Linked DNA regions of Caenorhabditis elegans. The protein of the gene in region 2 interacts with the protein of the main gene of each other region in a pairwise test. Each region holds a gene or a part of one and is shown on either strand. Other genes may lie near its edges.

What was found.
Region 1: the proteins of gst-42 (region 2) and ZK829.7 interact in a two-hybrid assay, tested with the Caenorhabditis elegans proteins (one large-scale study listed by BioGRID).

The regions. Positions count from the first base shown.
Region 1 is NC_003282.8:11,959,230-11,963,196, forward strand, and holds ZK829.7 (Enoyl reductase (ER) domain-containing protein), read right to left. Parts: upstream 2,307-3,967; 5' UTR 2,304-2,306; coding exon 2,093-2,303; intron 2,027-2,092; coding exon 1,785-2,026; intron 1,731-1,784; coding exon 1,291-1,730; intron 1,241-1,290; coding exon 1,015-1,240; 3' UTR 676-1,014; downstream 1-675. Other genes in the region: tgt-1 (Queuine tRNA-ribosyltransferase catalytic subunit), read right to left, coding at 1-116, 412-564.
Region 2 is NC_003284.9:11,725,486-11,729,846, reverse strand, and holds gst-42 (putative maleylacetoacetate isomerase), read left to right. Parts: upstream 1-1,910; 5' UTR 1,911-2,050; coding exon 2,051-2,117; intron 2,118-2,167; coding exon 2,168-2,232; intron 2,233-2,276; coding exon 2,277-2,450; intron 2,451-2,541; coding exon 2,542-2,622; intron 2,623-2,671; coding exon 2,672-2,808; intron 2,809-3,232; coding exon 3,233-3,353; 3' UTR 3,354-3,583; downstream 3,584-4,361. Other genes in the region: D1053.2 (Histone-lysine N-methyltransferase, H3 lysine-79 specific), read right to left, coding at 1,104-1,106, 1,181-1,287, 1,342-1,696.

The DNA.
Region 1 (3,967 bases), on a different chromosome or scaffold from region 2:
TTATGTAATCCACCAGCAGCCTTAACTCGTTCATGACCGGGACGATGTCCAAGATGGTACGTGTTGCAAAGGAGAATTCGACAATCCATCGAGACTAGTTGTTCCGGTACGATTCCCTGTAAGTTTATTATATATGAAACTGCATAAACTCGAGAAAATATTTTTTTAATTTTTTTCAGGGAAAATCGAAAAATGAGAATCTGAAAAAAAATGTTCATAAATTTAACTTGCTGTAAACTTCATAAAATCTCTACTTTTCAAAAATTTGAAAAAATTTTCACTGAAAGTTAAAAAAAAAACTAACAGGTTTTATTTTTTGTATTATACTTTATTATGATCACAAACAAATTTCACATTTTTGAAAAAGTTTTTTTTTCAATTTAGAATTTTTATTCTTAATTTATTCCATACCTTCATAGTTCCCTGTGTTCCAACAGGCATAAAAACAGGCGTTTCGACGATGGAATGTGGCAAATGAAGATTTCCACGACGAGCGAATCCTGCTCTCGCCAGCACGTCGTACCTCATATCTGCCTGGCACGTCGGGAGCGGTTCCGGTGTCATTGGAGACTTCACTTCGTAAGTTTTTTTTTCGTTAAAATAGGAAATAATTATTTTTATTCCAAGTATAATTGGTTATGACCTTTAATGAAGTACTGTAACGGTAATTTGTTTTTTTATAATATTCATTGAATTCGTTTGTTTACATATTTTTTACAAACTAAGATTACCTAACTAAAAATTATTTTCGTTCTCATGTTAAAATTATTTGGAAGGATGCGGATCTAGAGCAAGAAACGGGAGAAAATGTGGATTTTATGTTACAGGGAATTTTTGAAAAGCAGATGGCAACACTATACTCAAAATACCGATGTCTGGGAAGTAATAGAGTAAATGCACAGGATGAAATAAGACTTTCTGACTATATAATTATGAGTGAAGGGAGTCGGGACAATGTATGAAATGGCAAAATGGGAAATACAATTATTACACCTTTGGAGGCTTATTGAGCAATTATTCGGAAGTGGCGGCAGGAATTGGAACACCGCCGCTCTGATCTGCATCTAATGCTGAAGAGGGATCGCAAACTTCGAGAATGGCACGACCTTCAACCTCCGACATCGACAATTGCTTCAACACTGCAGACGCTTGATCGACTGGATAAACTCTGTAGTCTGGAGCATCGATTTGGCCTCCGGCAATCAAATTTACAAGGTTTTTCAGTTGTTCGATACTTCCTCTGGAAATTTTGTAAATGAAATAAAGAAAGAAAAAAACTTCAAATAGTACCTCGTAACTCCCATAATGGCCAGTCTGTTTTTAGCAACGTGCTTGATTGGAAGTTGAACATCAAGACCGGAAAGACCTCCAACAAATAAGACACCACCTTCAGCGAGACACTTCAATGATCGAGTGACAGTTCTTGGAGATGTCACAAAATCGAAAACAACATTGACACCGGTACGAGCCACATCCTTAGTTCTCATAATCAGATATTCTTCAAATTCGGAATCATCCCAGTGTACTACAAAGTCAGCTCCGTTTCTTTCGGCCAGAGACAAACGTTCTTCTTTGGCATCAGCAACCATCAAACGGATCTTTTTATCATTGTTGATCGCTAGGAAATGCTTGGCGAGTTTAAGAAGCCAAAGTCCAAGTCCTCCTGCTCCCACGATAAGAATATTGCAGAATCCCTTTGATTGTGAAAACGCTTCGACTATCGGTCTGGCCTGGAAAAAATTGTTGATTAATACTGAAGAAAAAAACCGTGGAAAATGTCAAACCTGAAGAACAGCAGACAACGCCCAGGTAGCTCCAGCAGGCAAAATAGATGCTACATGCATTGAAAGAGTTTCTGGAATTTTCACAAGAAAATGGAGAGTTGGAACAGCAACATAGTCGGCATAACCATGACTGCACATCTCATCAGTTGGCCATACGATTACTTTATCTCCAATAGTCAGATCATAGTCACCAGGTGTGCATTCAGCGCCGAATGACTCAACAATTCCGGAAACTTCATATCCTGCAATAACGGATTTCGAAAATGTTATTTTCATTAGTTCAAGCCAAATTAATCTAAATTTCAAACCTGGAAACAAGCTGGTATCTTTGATTCCGTTGGTAATTCTTGCTTGCTTCGTGTTGGAAACTTCTCTATCAGTAAGGCAAACTCCTGCATAACAAACTTTAACGCGTGCTCCCTTTGGTGGGACATCTGGGATTGGCTCCTCGTCGAAAAACTTCACTTCCCGAAGATCCTTTGGAGATCCCAAAGAAATTCTTCGGTTTGTTGCTGGCATTTTCTGCAAGGAAAATTAAATTAAATAGGTTGAATAAACACTTCAATATCAATAAATTTGTTAACAAAGAATAAACCATCAAAGTGAGAGCATGGGTCACGTGTGTGTTTTTTGAAGAGACACAACTTTTTAGAGAAAAATCAATAGAATCAACATTGTAAACACTTGGAGAGAAATAAAATATTAGTGTTTTCAGTTTAAATGATAGAAAAATTGGTTCAATCACTTGAGACATTAAACTTTGTTGAGAAACAACGTGCCGAAAACAAAAAATCCGATTGAAAAACGGAAAGTGCGCCTAGTCACGATAACGGGGTCAAGAATGGCTTTGCGCACTTTGCGTGCCTTTTGGCGGAATTTTAAATACTAGTTTTTAATAAAGAAAACTTTTTTGCATTTTTCCGGCAAAATTACAGTTACGATTATTATGAAAGAATCTACTTGACTTACAATTAGAATTAGAGATTCAAATTAACTATTGATGTTTTGAAAGCTCTATCAACTTAGGCTTTTTGAGAATAAGCTTTTTAAGTAACCGGAACAACAACTAACTGACATAAACTTTGTGAAATGGAAAACGAAAATATTGCAGATGAAAAATAACAGTGGGAGAGTAACGAGACGCAGGACCCTACAGATGCCGAAGCATCTATTCGTCCCTCAATACATGTGCTTTTCACGTGCACACAAACGAATTTCATCATGACTTCTAGGGGAGAATGAGAGTAGAAAAAAATCTCGAATATTTTCCAAAAAATTGAAACATTTTTCAAAAAAAAAGTTCAAAAAAAATAATTTGAAATATCTCCAAAAAAATCCAATATTTTGCAAAAAAATAATTTGAAATTTTTCCATAAAAAAGTTCGATAATAAAATAGTTTGAGTACATCGAAAATGAGGAAACATCAATTTGTGGTTCGACGTTGTGAACATTTGAAATCAATAGATCATACACATTTTAAATAACTTCATAAACGTTTTTTTCCAAATCTATAAATGAATTAATCAACGTTTAGATACATTGGTTTTATCTTTTTGGAATCCCAATATCTTCAATGCAGAATTTCTGTGATCTGATAATGAACAAGTGATAACAACTGGATCAATTGCAGGATAAACGCTTAGTATAGGCACAATATATGTTGACAGTATTATGAAAGTATTTAAAAATTTCAAGAACTTATGAATCTATAACCTACACTCCATAATTATCACCGGCAAGTGGGAGGAACCATACAACAAATAAAGGGATGATTGTACTTATTAATGGAATTATAGTTTGCGCAATTAAAGATTTGAGAAGACTTGAATGTAATCTTTTCGTAGTACATGATAATGTGCATGCTTTCAGTGACAAGTGAATTTTTCGTGCAAAGAAAACATAGATGATCATAATAGAATTGGTGATAACTGCGGCTACAAGCATTCCCAGAATTCCACTTTTTGACCAGTCATTCACGGGGTACTGTAATTGTTTTTGAAGGGAACACTCATATGATATGATGAGCAAATATCATAGTACAGTCAGTCAACATTTTGAAGTTTTTTTTTAACTTTCCGTCATAAAGTGGTAATTACTCAGTTTTCACTTATTATGATTTAAAAAATTGATCAAGATACATTTTGCGTTGTATGACTTATTATTTGAAATTATTAATATATTC
Region 2 (4,361 bases):
ATGTCGTTTGATCTCAAATGGGAATAGATAATGCATTGTTTCGTATTATGGAAAAATTACTGAAACACAACTGTACTTAAATTTTAATGTTTCTTTTCTTGGTGAACTTTTCAGTTCTAGTCAGCTCCCCGAACCTCCCGGTAATTTTGAAATGTATGTTTCCAGTGAACTTGTGATATTGATGATAATTGGATTTTATAACAGTAGTTTGTGTATTTGTGTTTTATTAATTTTTGAGATTGGAATAAATAATTTGTAAATAAACATTTTCTCCACTATTACATTTTTGGATGAAATCTTAACTAAAAGAGGGATTCAAAAACAATTTGAAAATAGCATTTCGATGCTTGAAATGTGTAAAATTTTGCGCGGTAGTTCACTGTATTAATATTTTACAAGACTAAAAAAATCCATTAATCACTTTTTGCATATTACTTTACAGTCCAATTAGAAGAAAAGCTCAATACCAACTAATGAATAACCTAATGGAACATACTTTTTTCAAGAGTTTGTTGTATACTGTGAAGTTACAGCGTAGACATTGTTGAAGCAGCCAGACGGATGACATAGGATTGATCACTGAAAAATGACAGATTATCAAAAGACCAGTTTTTAGAACCAGCTTCATCCCAATCCCTAGTCGACTGATCTTTACCTCTCTTGCGTTTCGACTGATTCAGGTCAGAAATAGAAATGTCGTTGATGGGAACTTTTTTGAGAATACTCAATGGACAAATCGATGACGGATTTTAGGATCACAACGACGAGGGATTCAGAGACTTGCGAGGACAGCAGAGAACGGACAGACTAACATGGAAGGACATTTTGAAACGTTTTATAAATAGGACGGTTGATTTAAAAACAACAATTTATTGGACCAACTTGAGTGATAGTACAGATTGCAAGAAGTTGGTTTTTTAAATCATAAACGTGCTACATTGACGCACTGAGAAGAGACTGAGGGGAAAACAAAGGAGATGAAAGATCTATAGGGAGTGAAGGGGAGATCTTAAATAGAAAATACACCGGAAAATCAGAAGTTGACCCGAGCACGAAGACACGTTGATGAGAGAGGAGTTGGGAAGAAGAAAGGGCGTCGACGATCACTGTAAAAAGTTAATTAATATTAGTTCTGATTTTAACCCATAACCGCAAATATTTCTCATATTCACGAACTTACCTTATTGCGGTTGATCTCAGTGAGATAAAACGGAACTTTGTCACCAGTCCAAGACGTATTGTTTTCCACAAGATGAAGAAGACGCTCGTCCGTGATTTTCACAAAATCTGAAAAAGATATAATTAGTATTTTGATGTACCTAACACCTAGTTTCAACTTACCATCGATACGACGAGAAGTCGAGCTTTGAGAACGGGGACGTGGAACAATCGACTCTGATGAAATGATCCGCGTTCCGTCAATGCATTTCGACAAGATCTCTTTCAGCTCCAACTTGAGCTCCGGCGAAAAACGAACGTTGTTCACCACAATCACCGTGGCTTGGGTCTGGATCTCATTAATACGATCCACCAGATATGCTTTTAATGAACGTGTCTCAACGTCGTTTAAATTGAAAAATAGTTCCTGGATGCTCTCAATTTCATTTAAGCACATCAAAGTGCACTGTGTATTTTTATATTGTCTTTGAAAAAATGACTTGGGTACAGCTTGGGCAAGAGTTGGGAGCAGCCTCATAAAAAAAGTCGTGGGCTGCTTGTTCTCTCAAGGCATCGCCCAAGGCTTACCATAGTTTTGTCTACTTCTTCTTATTCCTTCTAATGTTTTTTGAATCTGCATTTCTCTCTTGGTCTACATATGATGTTGGTAATGTATAGTAGAAGACCACGTGTGTCTGCACAATTACACTATCTCTAGTGTTCTGCGTCTGCAATATACAACAACAAAACCATTTCGTCGACATACACCGTCCAATCTTATCAGTTAGTTCGACATCATTCCGTCTTTGACCCTTTTTGTTTATTTTTCAACTAGTCATTATCATCAGTTATTCTTTCTGAGAATTTACAAAATTATTTTCTGCTTGTAGACATGTCCAACCAAAAGCCAGTTCTGTATTCTTATTGGAGATCATCGTGCTCATGGAGAGTTCGCATCGGTTGGTATTTTAATTATATCAATTTTAACTAGCAAAAATGTTATTTTCAGCGCTTGCTTTGAAAAACGTGGACTACGAATACAAAACTGTCGACTTGCTGTCCGAAGAGGCTAAGGTAAGAGAAAATCAAGCGGTTCTTTAAATTATTTTAAAATTTAGAGCAAACTGAAAGAAATCAACCCAGCTGCAAAAGTACCAACATTTGTTGTGGATGGTCAAGTAATTACTGAAAGTCTTGCGATTATTGAGTATTTGGAAGAAACGCATCCAGACGTTCCACTTTTGCCAAAAGATCCAATCAAGAGAGCTCACGCTAGAGCTATTTCTCTTTTGGTAAGTTTTACGTATTTAGTTGGTTTTTTTCTTAACTTTATACTGCTATTGTTTTACAAAAACTGTAACAATTATGTTTTGAGGTTTACAGGTTGCTTCTGGAATTCAACCTCTTCACAATTTGAAGGTTCTTCAACTTTTGAATAAAAAAGAAGCAGGATTCGGAGGACAGGTTTAATTTCAGAATCTTCAATGTATGTTTTCAATTTTTAAAATTTCAGTTTGCCAAACAGTTTGTTGTCGAAGGTCTCACTGCTCTTGAAATTCTTCTAAAGCAACATTCTGGGAAGTATGCTGTCGGAGATGACGTCACGATTGCGGATCTCTCCATCCCGCCACTTATCTACTCAGCTAACCGGTATGATTATAGGGAGGGTCAGGGAATTTTGGACATAGATAACTTTTTGAGAAAATTTATTATGTTTTAGTAATCTATCCAGAATTTCAATGTATTAGTTTGACATTTTGCGTATTCAAAACCTCGAAAATTTGAACACCTTTTGGGTTACCCTCAAACAACACTGACCAATTTTTCATAGACAGTTACTGAATCATCTTAGCAAGTGATTTAAACGAAAACACATTCCTATTGAAAACAACATCCACTTGTGTGGCAACAACCTTTTTATCGGATTCCTGATTCAAACAAAATGTATTAGTCATTCAACAAACATGAATTGGAAGCGATGAGCGTTTAGGATGAGACATGAGAGATTCACAGATAACCATCAGAATAACCTCCCTTCCAAATCGTTCCGATCGCAATCAAACCGTCATTTCAGATTCAACCTCGATTTGTCGCCATACCCAACAGTGAATCGTATCAATGAGACTCTTGCTGATATCCCCGCCTTTATTGCCGCTCATCCTGATAATCAACCAGATACCGGACTCAATGCTTAGATTCTTATGAATGATTGCGTTATTGGATTGGACATACAAGAGTTAACTATTTGAGAATTAAAAAAAAATGTTTCTTTGTCTCTTAAATTAGCACAAAAGTAATAATAAATTTACAACAGAAAATGTCCGCGATATCCTAAAGCAAGTTGCTTTTTTTAACTTTGTAAACTAACTTTTCTCGTTTTCATACTGAGTGTTTTTTTTTCAAATAAATTAATTTCTTAAAAATATTTTGAACTTTATTCAAACGAAATATCCAATGGAAAATTTTTTAGTATGCGAGTTCCACTGATAACTTTTTTGCGTTCAAAAAAAATGTCCTGCTTTGAAGACAGAATTTTTGATGTTTACCTATTTAGAAGTATGTTTCGAAATTCAAGTTAAACAGTTGCAGACCGGAAGCCTCCAAAAGTCATTTTTTTGTCCTCCTCTTCATGACCAAACTCAATCCCTGGGGATTAGCATCTGAAAACCCAATCGGCAATGTTGTGTCATGGAAACTTTTAGAGAACTTTCGGAAGACTTCCGTGCAAAGAGAACGTGTTTTTACGGGCGAGGTTGGCATAGTCATAGTACTAGTTGGTTGCCACCCACAACACAAGCCGGCCTTTCGATTCATCAAAGTATCCGTTTTTTTCACTCTTCTCCTCCCGCATTCTCCCCCTCTTTTCTTTGTCAGTGTGGTCTGCAAAGTTCAATTTCCAACTTTTCTCATTTTCTCTATCTCTGGCTCGCTCTTCGCAGCTCCTTTTCTGCTTTTTTTGTCTTTATGCAACCAGAATCAAGAGGAAAAGAGTGACGAATTAGGTTTAATAAAGGGTGATGTTTGACAACTTTGTCAAAGTGTATACCTCCCGTTGTCAAGGCATTTTTAAGTTACGCCTGCACTGATAAAAATGCTATATATAAAAGAAAACACAACACATTTATTGATTTGAACATCAAATTATTTTGGAATCATTTTGTCAAGTGAAGTTACAAATTATTTGTACAATAAATTTCAAGTGT